Rhinolophus ferrumequinum: one gene and its partner. The protein of the gene in region 2 purifies or fractionates together with the protein of the main gene of each other region. This does not show direct contact. Links are inferred from orthologs where the notes say so. Each region holds a gene or a part of one and is shown on either strand. Other genes may lie near its edges.

Region 1 (6,274 bases), on a different chromosome or scaffold from region 2:
GGTTAACTGATTGGCAGACATGTATTATATGGTGGAAGGGTCTTTGTTATTTTTTTTGGCAGACACGCATTATATGGTGGAAGGGTCTTTGTTTTTTTTAACTATAAGAGACTAAGATTGAAAAGATTATGTGGTTTATACTGTCATAAAAATGCAGACAGCATGAACCTTATAAACACATGGTGAACAGATCTTACTCATTTTTTCGGGCAAGATTTTTGAACAAATGTTTCAATCCCTAGCCAGCCGGGAAGATGTGCCAGTATTATAGACACCTCTACATAGGCTGAAAGAGTCAAATCTGGTGTATTTGTATGCAAAATTACACAAGGAAGAGCAAACCCAAAACTATTATTATTAAAACTACATATATATTGGGGCAGCCAGTTGGTTAGAGCGCAATGCTTTTAACAAGGTTGCCGGTTTGATCCCCCCATGGGCCACTGTGACCTGCGCTCTCCACAACTAGATTGAAACTACTTGACCTGGAGCTGATGGGTCCTGGAAAAACACACTAAAACAAAACAAAAGAAAACAAAACAAAACCACACATGTAAATATATATATTATGCTATATTTTTAAATATATATTGTATATAACTATCTATATAACTATAACTATATACACACACACGCACATAGTATCTGTTTCAACAAGGCCTAACTGAAGGCCATGAGGACCAGGTAAGGTCCAAAGTACTATAAATTCAAAAATGTATGACTGTCCCTGCCCAGAGGGAATTCAAAATCAGGCAAGATAGACAAAATATTTCTCAACAAACTATAAATGTGTTAAGTGCTGAAACATAACATAATATTTGACTCTTGGATATAATGGTTATATTCATTTTAATTTTACTAGTTCAACAATATAGGAGCTTGAAGTTTCTCAAAACAGGAAGTAAACATATATATGCTTTTGAGAAAAGCAGTAAACTGGAATTATAAGAATTCAAATGCTTACAATTTAGTATTATTTATTTATGAAGATGGAATATGTAAAGTTTGATTGTATTTATACCTGTTTATACATGTTTAATGAATGCTTAAAAAGATACCTTGCCCAAATACTCAAATCACTTTTGATGTTACTCTCACTTCCTCTTCTAGAAACCATCATAACCATTTCCTTTAACCACAATACCACAGGTCTAGTAACTTTTAGTAATGTTTGAATTTCCACAAATGTTAGAGGGTAATCTCAGGAAAAAAGTTCAGGTCAATGCAACCTATAAGTAACACTATCCAAAATGAAATTATTCCCAACCAACATAAATTTATAACTAAGGCTCTTGGGTAAAAGCAGAAGGCTTCTTTGTAATGACACTGAGCTCCTGCCACATAAAATATAACAAACTGAGGAGGCACGTTGCAATTACTCTCCAGAATTCACTGGATGTAGGGTCAAATCTGGCATTCAGGTGAGCCACCTGAACACAGCAATCCTTATATAGGATTTATTACTCTTAACCCAAGACAGTATTCTCCTTTAGAATTACCATGTCTGCATCAAATTGTTGAAATAAATCAGTTTTATACTTAAACTCCACGATATAAATTTCAAAAACATATTCTTCCTTCAGCAGCCCTAATTTACAAACACAGTAATTCTATAGCTATGGTTAAACTAAAAGAAAATATTCATGACAGATTAAAAAGCCAACAAAAATAATTGTGAAGATACGACATCAAATACATACTGGAAACTAAGGATCTATATTGTACCCAAAAAACTCCTTAATTTTCACTTTATCAAATTCTTTAAAACTTACTACACTTCTCTTAAAAGGAAAAAGGTTTTGGTTGTTTTCTCCTAATATAAATTAATATGTTGTTCTATCTTTACATCTGTTTTTCTTAACTCCAATTCAACCTTCCATTTCTTAATCTGCTGAATCCATGTAAAGACTTTCCATAGGCCTATTAACCCATTATAACTATTTAAATTATCAGAATATACTATGAATCAGCGGTAATGGCAACATATTTACAGTTTTTAATTTGGACAGACCCCGAACTTTAAGAAATGGTGTTTTGGCACTATGAGACAGGGTTGAAAAATTAAGATGAGGAGGAGAACAGAGGGAAGGGAGAGAAGGTTGTTATTCCTGTTCTAGTGACTCACAGCCCACAAGTATTTCGGAAGAAAACTGGTTCCACCCTCACTTCCCACTTCTTTCCACCTTCAAAATGAACCACTTTCAAAATGAAATACGCAAATCGTCAACACGCTCTCACATGGCTTTTATTTAGCAATCTAAAATAAAGCGGCAAAGTGAAGACGATGCGGAGTTCATCCTGATTAGCCGTTCCCTTCCCACATTCCCACACTTAGACATCAAAAAATTGGGGGGGAAAAATGCTACCATCTCCGCCAGATTGCTACCTTTCCACCTCAGTTATAGAACACCCAAGTGCCCCCCTCCCATCTCGCCCACCCACCACCCTCCCTTTCCTGATGACCCCATTCCGGGGAGAGGGCAGCGGCGGCGGCAGCGGCGCCCCTCACCCCGTGCGAAGCCCGGCCGGATCCCGCCACTGGGAGCCGGGAAATGGCTTCTCACTGCCTCCGGCCGGCCCGCGAACCATCGGGGGAGGCGCCCGGGACTCCGCATTAGGCCGCGGCGCAGCCCGGAGACTTCGGGCCGGGCCTGAGGCCGCGACGCCGTGATTTCGGCCCTGGGCGCCGCCCGCCGCCCCCACCCCCGAGCCTCCCTCGCTGTCCCTCCCTCCCCCGCCCGCCCGCCCGCCGCCCCCGCCGAGGCCTCGCCAGCCGGTGCGCACCTTCTTGATGTTGTAGAGGCGGGTGAGCATGCCGACGCCCCGGTCGTTGAGGATGGTGAGCTTCTCCGCCAGCTTCTGCTGACTGGGCTGCAGCACCGAGCGCGACATGGTGATGGTGATGGTGGTGGTGGTGGTGGTGGTGGTGGTGCCGCCGCCGCCGGCCTCCTCGCGCCCAGTCACCGGCCCGCGGCCGCCGCAACCTCTCTCGGGCCTCCTCCCCTCCCACCCGCGACCTAAGCCTCAGGGGAGCGCGCCCATGCCCGTGCGCCCCAATTCCGCTCCAGTGACAGAGCGAGCCGCGGCAGACGCTTAGGGGTCCCTTCCCCGCAGCAGCCCGCGCCCCGGCAGCCTCCTGCCTTCCGCCCGCCGCCCTTCCGTCCCCACCCCCGGCGCTCTCCGCCCCAGCCCCCACCGAGCCGCCTTCCCCGTCTCCTCCACTAGGTGTGGCGGCAGCGGCGGCAGCGGCGGCAGCGTCTCCGGCGGCTGAGAACGAGGCCGCTTCCCGCAGCCCGGGCCGAGCGCTCGGTCACCTGATCGCCGCGCCGGCGCCCCCGCGAGGCCGGACCGGGAACTGATCCTGAGGGGCCCTCGTTCGCCCCGCCCGCCTGGCTGCGCTCCGCGGCCGCTTGCGACGGCGCGCGGGTCTGCCAGCGGCCGGGGCCGCCCGCTGCGCCGGGCGTGGGAGTCCTCAGCCGGGATCGAGAAGGGTCACGTTTCTACGCTCGTCCCAGTTCGCCACACACCCCTTTCCTGCAAGTTCCCAAAAGTTGCCTTGCCGCACCACCTCCCTAAAGAAATCAGCAGAAGCCTGGGGGCGGGAGGGGAGGAGGTGCGGGTTTCAGGAGAGTTTCGCCTTCGAGTGGGCTGGTGGCTCCAAGCTCTGTTTCCTCCCACTGCTTGACAGACGCTCCCCGCTGCACACAGCAGTTGTGCTCTGCGGAGCGGGCTTCGCGTCTCCCATCCTCCCATCCCATCCTAACTCCGCCGCAGCAGGGCGGTTTGGGAGGGAGGAGATCGGAAGTGAGGGCGACACAAGTTCTGAGATAATCGGAATCCGGAGTTTGTCGACGGGCAGCACCCATCCGGAGAAGACGCGAACATAGAGGGCCTAGTATCTGCGAGGCGAAAGATAAATGTTCGTTCAATGAACGAAGGAACCCTCCCCCCTTTTTTTTTCTGGACTCCACCTTAAATCCCACCCCTCCTTGGGAACATTCTATTACTTTTCTAGCTCTTGGTTTCTTCCCCCCATGAGTTTCTTTCCTGTTAGACGCCAAAGCTATTATTCCCTGTGGTCAAATCTATGAGAAATCGTTCCAAAAATGAACAAATCAAGGACTTAAGTAATCGACTGGGGTTAGGAATTCCAGCCAAGAGGATTCAAGCCTCTTCGATATTTTTGGCTTAATTTCCTTCGGTGTGTTAACCTTTTCTATTATCCTCATTAATTTTAAGTGAATGACAAAATGTTCGGCCACCTTCAATAAAAGACATTCTAAGAGTAAATAAGCTATCATCGGATTGATCAAAATATGAAGAGGAAATGGTGATATAGCTTTTTAAACTTTTCTTTAAAGCTAGTGTATGTATTATTCCTACGGAAATCTTCGTTTTAATATCCCAATAAGAGAAATGGAGTGGACTGAGTGGATTTGATTTAAGAGGCATGAGGGTCCAGGAAGTCAGTCATACCTGACCTTGTGCTTGTGCTTGAAATTCTATACATAGAACTTCATTACCTTGAGTGAATGCTTTGTACCTAAAGAGTTCTTTTTTTTTAATGCAAACACTTCAAAGAGATCACCTATTGAGCTATCATTAGTCAATAGCACATTGTGGTTTTAATTTATCTGGTTACTTTCCAACCTGATAGTTAAATTTTTAATTTAGAGGAAGCAAGCATTTGGAGCTTGAGGTAATAAGAGCACACCTGGGAAAAGCCAGGCTGTGTAAGGGTTTGGGGCAACCAGACAAGAAAACTGAAAAGTGTTGAATGTTGGGAGAAAGATGTGCTCTTTTAGGAGACTGCAAAGAAATTTAACTAGAGACAAAATGACAGAGCACCATCAATGAACGGTTATATCATTTTCTAGTTTTACAAAAGTGCTACATAGAGGAACGAAAATGGCACCATATTATAATTTAAACGCAACTATTCCTCCTCAAGAAAAGCCACCATCATGTTTCCATATGAACTTGAGCGCTTCTAGCTGCTTATCACTCAGAGAGGACCCAATAGAGGAAGAACTTTGTAGATACTGATCTCATTATTCAATTTTCAGTATAACTAATTTTTAGATATATTGGCCCTAGACTGAATGGAATTTGTCTATTGTAAAAGAGATTAGTTCTAGATGAAGTAGTCACAATTTTTGCAGTTCTCTACATTTTACATCAAAAGCATTTTGTTACTAAGATACAACCCTTTCATAGTTTTCCTGTATGTGTAGTATATAGTGTGAGTGCCTTATAATATGTGAGTAATAAGCATATACTTTGCCATGGATATATGATTTTTGTGACAATTATAATTAATATGTCATTTTATATTTCCTTAAAGTTTTTCAGTCTTTGAATATGTCATACCATGTGAATCATCCTATAAAGTTATTATTAAAAATTGCTACAGCAGGATTTTTTTACCTGCTGTAGTTTTCTGGAAAAGTATAACATTTTTTAAATGATTAGGAAACTAAATTTTAAAATGCATGATTGAAGATTTTATTTTCCTCATCATATAAAGCATAATCTTCACAGTTCCTATGGTACTAAAGATTTTCAAACAGTTTCACTTCCATTAAGTAGTTTGTCTCCAGAACATATTCAGAGATTATTAAAATTATTATAAGACTTCAGAGAGATGTAGAAAGTAGATAATAGCTTCACATTTGTAGTAATCTTAGAAAATTAGCTAGTAAAGTTACCTAGTATGCCTAGACTAGTATGCCTAAATAATTGTGAACATAGATATATAACTTTTTAAAAATCAGATTTACTGAGATATAATTTACACATAGCAAAATTTACATATCTGTTTCTGAATAATTATTTTTTTATTGAGACAATTATGATGATACCCCTGTAAAGAAAGTAAGCACTGGAAAATCCAAATTGGAAAATACTTAAACTAAAGGAGGAGTGTGGTTGGCTTTACAGAAGAATTTATAGTAGAATACATATTGTGTCCACCACATATAGTTTACAGTGATTCAGTTATAAAATTCTACTCATGCAGCTTTTGATACATGTATTATAAAGCATTCAGCCATGTATAGTAACACTCCTGGAGGGATTTAAACAGTATTTTTCAATTCTATATAATACATTAAACTATCAAATACTTAAAATGTGCCAAGTACTGCTGTTCTAGGAGATATGAGGCTGTTTAAGACACAGATTTTGATCTCCTTGAACTCATGTCCTGGTGGGAATAGAAACATGCACAAGGAAGTCTTATATAAGTCAGCCTGAGATACAAGGCTATAAGACA
Region 2 (6,274 bases):
GTGGAATTCAGACACCTTCACAAAAAGTCAAAAATATGGAACCTTTGTCTCAAGATGAAAATATACAGACAATTCATGAAGCTTAAAACAAAAAACTCAGGCCAGCCAGGTGGCTCTGGTGGTTGGAGCGCCGTGCTCCTATCACCAAGGTCGCAGGTTCGATTCCCACGTGGGCCAGTGAGCTGCACCCTCTACAGCTAAGATTGTGAACAACGGCTCTCCCTGGAGCTGGGCTGCCGGAGGTCAGCATGGGTGCTGTGTGCTGCCGTGGGCTACCGTGAGCTGCCGTGAGCGGCCGACCAACTACTGGTGACCAACTGCCTCAGCCAGGGGAGCGCAAGGCTCATAAGACCAGCATGGGCCAGGGAGCTGTGTCCTACCCAACTAGACAGAGAAACAATGGCTTGAACCAGACGGGGGGGGGATGGGGGGTGGCAGAAGAAGGGGGGAAAAAACAGCCTCATGTAGCATGCTATCGCTGACTGTTCAATGGAAGTGGAGAGTAACTGGTGGACACACACTCCTATAAAGATGACATCATGGAAGGCCATTTACCTTGCTCAAGGAAAGAAATTCCTGGACAGCAATATCTGTCCTAAAGGCTAAAGGGACCACTAGCCCCATCTGGACACCAGTTTCTATAGTGAGAGAAATGAGGGCTTCAAGTCATTCACTCCCAGCCTTCTAATAAACCAAAGCCAAAACAACACTATTAAAAATGGTTCTTTATCAATATTTGAATGTGAGATGCTGTCTTACCTAAGTGAAGTTGAGAGAAAATCTCGGGGCAGAGGTCACCCAAATAAAAGTGACAGACCCTGTGTTTAGGATCGACTGTCTTAGAATTAAAAAGTACCAAATTTATGTCATATTTTACACTCAATGCCAAACTGCCACATAGGAAATATCCATTAGAAGAATATAGGCTAATTGACCCTAATTATAACATGACATAGCCTTTAACCATAATTCCCAAGAATATTTTCAAAGGAAGCTTCCAATTTGTGGAACCTCGGTTATTTTGCCTTCACTGCTTAACCTGCCCTTAACGGCCTGAAAGTCCACACAACATTAACTGATTTCTCAGCCCCACAAAATTTAGGTCCACAGTTAACAGCTTTAACAAATTTTTTTTTTTTTTTAGATTTTATTGGGGAAGGGGAACAGGATTTTATTGGGGAACAGTGTGTACTTCCAGGATTTTTTCCAAGTCAAGTTGTTGTCCTTTCAGTCTTAGTTGTGGAGGGCGCAGCTCAGCTCCTGGTCCAGTTGCCGCTGCTAGTTGCAGGGGGCACAGCCCACCATCCCTTGCAGGAGTCGAACCGGCAACCTTGTGGTTGAGAGGATGCGCTCCAACCAACTGAGCCATTCGGGAGCTCACAGCAACAGCTCAGAACTGACAACCTTGTGGTTGAGAGCCCACTGGCCCATGTGGGAATCGAACCGGCAGCCTTTAGCATTAGGAGCATGGAGCTCCAACCGCCTGAGCCACCAGGCCAGCCCCAACAATTTTTGAATAAAAGAACATTCTAACTGTATCACCAGGAATTTATTTTATTTGGGTAAAAGCAGAAAAATATTTTTCGTATGTAAAACTAGGTATCTAAGTTTTGCACTGAAGTAATGTTTGCTACCTATTGTCCCTTATTTTAAATAATACAGCTGAAACTTTTTTTGTAAAGGTACATTTCACTAATATCGCTCAGCCCTAGTCAACATCAATGTCAAACACAGTGTTACAAAATTCAAAAAACTCAAGTCCAGAAACTATTTTCTGCCTAATACTCCCTTTCCAGAGCCTAGCAGCGCCTCAGAGTAACACAGACAGCAGTCCTAATAACACGCCGCTGGCGCGTATAAAGCGTTCAGCAGGGGCCCGCACGGTGAGGCACTTCACTTCCAGCTGAATCGTCACCACTTCCCTTTGCCACACCTCTCCTGGGGGATGAGTGATATGCTCAGGGTTTCCCCAGAAGTGGTGGGGTGTGGGTCTGAAGGAACCATCCAGATCCCATAGCAGGCATTCAACAAGTATTTGACTAGATAAGCCAATCGGAACAGTAGAGGTCCACTCCGTAGGTTATGAACTAAATATATCTGCTATGCTTATGTTTTAGTTTTAGAAATTTTCAAATAAGAATATTACTGTGGCTAGATACTGAATTATCAGTAGTGACTTTTTTTTTCTTCCAGAAACAATTTCAAATGTCTTACTTTGCAATGACCGACATAAGCTGAGAATTCATAAACTCACTGAGAGGTATAAAAGCTACACCAGTCCTAACGACACGACTGGGGAATATTAATCAAAAGGCACAGTGATGCCAGAACTCTTCGTCCGACTTCACCCGACTCCAAAAATGTACCAGTTGCACTCTGACTTGGACGAAACTGGTAGTAATTCTTGGAGCTTCCCTGTTTACGCTTAACTACTCGAGCAATGCTGAGACACAATTTTGCTCGGATTACAATGAGATTGTTTCTATGGGAGAAAAACAACTGCATAAGACAAGTTTTGTCTTCCTCTAGGGCCTGTAACCACCACAGACAGTAATGAAAAGAAACGCCTTGAGTCACAGGGCCGCTCGGCTCAGGGAGCCTGTTCTGCTACATCCCATACCTAACGCAAGAAGCGAAGGCCAATTTTTTTTTAAGGACCACACCACGCTCGGAGGAAAGAACCGTCTCAATCACACCCAGCTCCTCGCAGCTAGAACCTTAAAACTTTCTCCACGGAAAGAGCAAAAATAATCATTTAAAAAATCCGAAAAGTGGCGAAGTACCAAGTGGAAGATCCCCCCTGGCAAACCAGCGTAGGGTCCCCAAAGCAGCTCAGGCCAATTCTGGTCACTGACGACCGACCTGAGCGCCGGGACGCACGGAAGCTCCCGATGGGGCTCGAGAGGTTAAATCTAAGCCAAGAAAAGGTCCTTTTAAGAGAAAGGCAACTCTCTAAGCCCACGTAATCCACAGGCAAACGAAGGAGGCTGGCGGCGCGGCGCCAGGTAAGTTCGGCCCCGCGGTCAGCGGGCGCGGGGAGAAAGCGGAGGGTGGAGTTCACTTTTCCCTCCGGCCGCCGTCGGCGATTCCCTCCCCCACCAAAAAGGGAGAGAAAAAGCCAGAACCCGGCGCGCGCCGCGGGGTCCCAGGGAGGGCTGGCGGCTCGCGCCCCCCGCCCACGGCCCGGAGAGGCCCAGGCCCCGCGCGCGCCCGCCCGCCCGGCCCCCGCTGCGCCCCCAGAACCGTGCGGCCCCGGCCCCCGCCCCCGGGCCGCGCACTCACCCGTCTCCCACCACCACACACTTGATGGCCTGCATCTGGGCCGCTCGCTGGGCCGCGGAGGCGGCGGCCGGGCGCTGAGACGAGAAGCGGCGGGCGCGGGGCGCGGCAGGCGGGCGGGCGCGCGGCTGCGGGCGGCAGGGCGCGGGGTGCCGGGGCCGCTGTCCACGCCGCCTCGCCCTCCGCCAACGGGAAGCCGAAGCCCAGCAGCGGCCACCACCCAAAGCTGGGGAAAACTGCAGAGAAACAGGAAATGGCCGCTCCACTCACATCCGGCCGCCCCTCCCCCGCGCCCGCGCCGCGGCTCCCAAGCTCGGGGCGGGGCGCTCCTGCCGGCGCGCTCACCGGCTCCTCCCGGCTTCGGGGACGCTCGGGAGCGCTCGGCTCCGGCGAGGCGAGCGAGGCGCCATGTTTGCGCGCAGACGGCGCGGTGCGGTCGTGGCCTGCGGGCGTCGGCCTGGGGAGGGGCGCTGGGTCCGAGGAGCCCTGAGTCCCAGGGGCCACGTTCTCGGCGCCCCATCCTGCTCCTGCCCGAGGCCCGCAGAAGGGCGTTGGTCTGTCTGTCCATCCTGTGTGATGACCGTAACTTATGTGATGACAGGCACTTCTAGAAAATTCGGAACCCAAAACTATAAAGACCATAGGCCGTACCATTATTCAGACACAACCGAGGTATATTAAGCCCCAAATGTGCTGAATTTTCTTCCGTTGCGTATGCATTTTCTATTATTTTTAATGCGTTGAGCACTTACTATATCCTATGCTTTCGTTGAACAGAAATTTTAACTTCCACGGCTGAAAGTCATTTTAAAAGAAAGGGTTTATTGGGTCATTGCTAGCTAGAAAAAAAGATGACCAGGGCCCGGGGCATATATTCTAAACCACCAGCAGCCGCGCCAGGTGGAGAAGGCAACATGGTGTCAACCGGCTTTTTTAGGGAAACAGTTTGGGGAAGAAAGATGTAGGTTGTTTTGAAAGAATTTACACTGGCTACAGATAAAGCTGGTGGGAGAAGGTGCTGCAGAGCTAGCTCTAGGGTAGGCACTGAATCCATAAGGAAGAAGCATTTGCTTCTTTGGATTAGTGGTGGGCAACAGTCTAGAAAGTTCATACTTAAACAAGAAGTGGACGGTTTGATGGCACCTGGCTATTATGTCTTTTAGATAATTGTGGAAATAGCCACCTGGAACTTAAAAGTTCCAACATACACTAAGGAATGTGAGCAGTCTTGTTAGCTGGCCCCCAGCTACTAACAAGCTAACTGTTCTCTTTTGCTCACTTTCCAGCCGGTTATAATTTAATTTGTAGCATCGCAGAATTTTTCTCATCACTTAATACCAAGTTCTGGAGATAATGTTCAGTTAGCAGACCATTCAAGTGCCAATGTTTTGGTGTATTTCTGCTCAGTTGTTTCTTTATATGCATAATGAACATGTTTTAAACAGCATTGTGAAGTCATACTGAATCATTAGAACATTTTTAATGGCTGCTTACTAGTCATTCCATTATGTACATGTACCATAATTTAAGGATTCCTCTATTATCCGAGGGTTGAGTTGTCCCCATTTGACAAACAATGCTGGGATGAACATGTTTGTGCAACGATCTTTATAGCTTCATTTCTTTAAACCACGTTCCCAAAAACGGAGTTACTGGCTTAATAGAGGGTGAGTGTTTTTAAAGCTTTGGTACTGTTGTTACATTGCCCCCCCCCCGCCCTCCCGCCCCCCCCCCTGCAAGCTTCACACTCCCCTCAACCCTCTGTGAGAGTGGACCATCCAGGGGAGTTGCTTTCCACTGATATTTTCATCTTTTAGGCCTTCTCTTTGTATAATTCACTCTGTTGCTCTGTATTGTAACAGTTTTATGAAATCAGGCTTTTTCTACACAAATTTTTTTTAACAGTTCCTTTTTTTTTTGTTTTTTGTCTTGCAATTATTTCAAAAGAAACGTGTTCCCAGGGCAAAGGGCATCTCCTTTTTACTCTGTTCATAAAGTTCACAACTCCCTTAAAAAGGAGTTGAAATTTCAAGTGCAACAGTGTCCCCTTGGCTGATAAAAATTTCCTGTGAATCTATGACAAACCTAAACTAAGTGTAATTACCTTCATGTCTTTGGACCAGAGGCAAATAAAAGGGTAGGCCTCAGGTCAATAGTTTAATTCAATTGTACAAACATTTGCATGCTGCGGTTGCATTATGGCCTGACAGTAAATGAACCAGATAAGGACATAGTTGCTAGAATAGCAAGCCCACTGTGCTCAGTACTATATGTGGGGTACAAATACGGTGTTTATCAGGAAGCCAAAACTGTGTTCACTCTAATAAGGCTTTCATCAAAGAGATGAGACTTGAAAGATGGGTCTGTGGAGGATTTTTGGTGGGTCTTGATGGAGTAAGAAGAAAAGAGTTTTCCACAGAGAGAGCGAAATCCTGGAAGTTAAAAGCTGAGGACTGTCTTCAGATGGGACACAGAGGGAACTAAACACTTGGCTGTCCCAGGTCTAGAATCTAGAGTAATCAGAGGCTGGATTGCAGACAGCCTGTGAGTATGGCCTTTATTATGACAGGACATGAATTGTTCAGCCAATACATGACACAACCACATTCAGATGATTATTTCCATAGATTGATAAAGTGAAAGTCCACCATATTAGACGTTGGACTGTGACTATAAAATAAAGCGAATGTACAATCCACATGTGAAAATTAGCTTTAAGCTAAAACTTAGTTAACTTAAAACTTTCCCAAGTTTGGCTTTGAGTGTTTATTGTAATGTTATCCATGGTGACCAATGGTCCAAAAAAGTTAAAGTTAAAACTAAATAAGCAAATATTAGACCATGTGTGTTTCTGAATATGCTACATAGTTATTTCTCAAGTGCCTCTTTTATATGCAATCATATAGCCTACTTAGTTCCCTTATTCAAGGTCAATCATTTTTTTCCGTTCCAGTCACTGTCTAGGTGTTGGAAGTGTGAAATGAACAAGAGTTCC

The links.
Region 1: the proteins of RAC1 (region 2) and NCKAP1 purify together in Homo sapiens (pull-down; 4 studies listed by BioGRID and IntAct, with this or other methods). This does not show direct contact. The link is inferred for Rhinolophus ferrumequinum from reciprocal best matches to the Homo sapiens genes RAC1 and NCKAP1.

The regions. Positions count from the first base shown.
Region 1 is NC_046291.1:43,731,875-43,738,148, reverse strand, and holds the start of NCKAP1 (nck-associated protein 1), read right to left. Parts: upstream 3,917-6,274; 5' UTR 2,893-3,916; coding exon 2,785-2,892; intron 1-2,784. UniProt on the Homo sapiens protein: Part of the WAVE complex that regulates lamellipodia formation. The WAVE complex regulates actin filament reorganization via its interaction with the Arp2/3 complex. Actin remodeling activity is regulated by RAC1.
Region 2 is NC_046307.1:41,102,232-41,108,505, reverse strand, and holds the start of RAC1 (ras-related C3 botulinum toxin substrate 1), read right to left. Parts: upstream 3,515-6,274; 5' UTR 3,318-3,514; coding exon 3,283-3,317; intron 1-3,282. UniProt on the Homo sapiens protein: Plasma membrane-associated small GTPase which cycles between active GTP-bound and inactive GDP-bound states.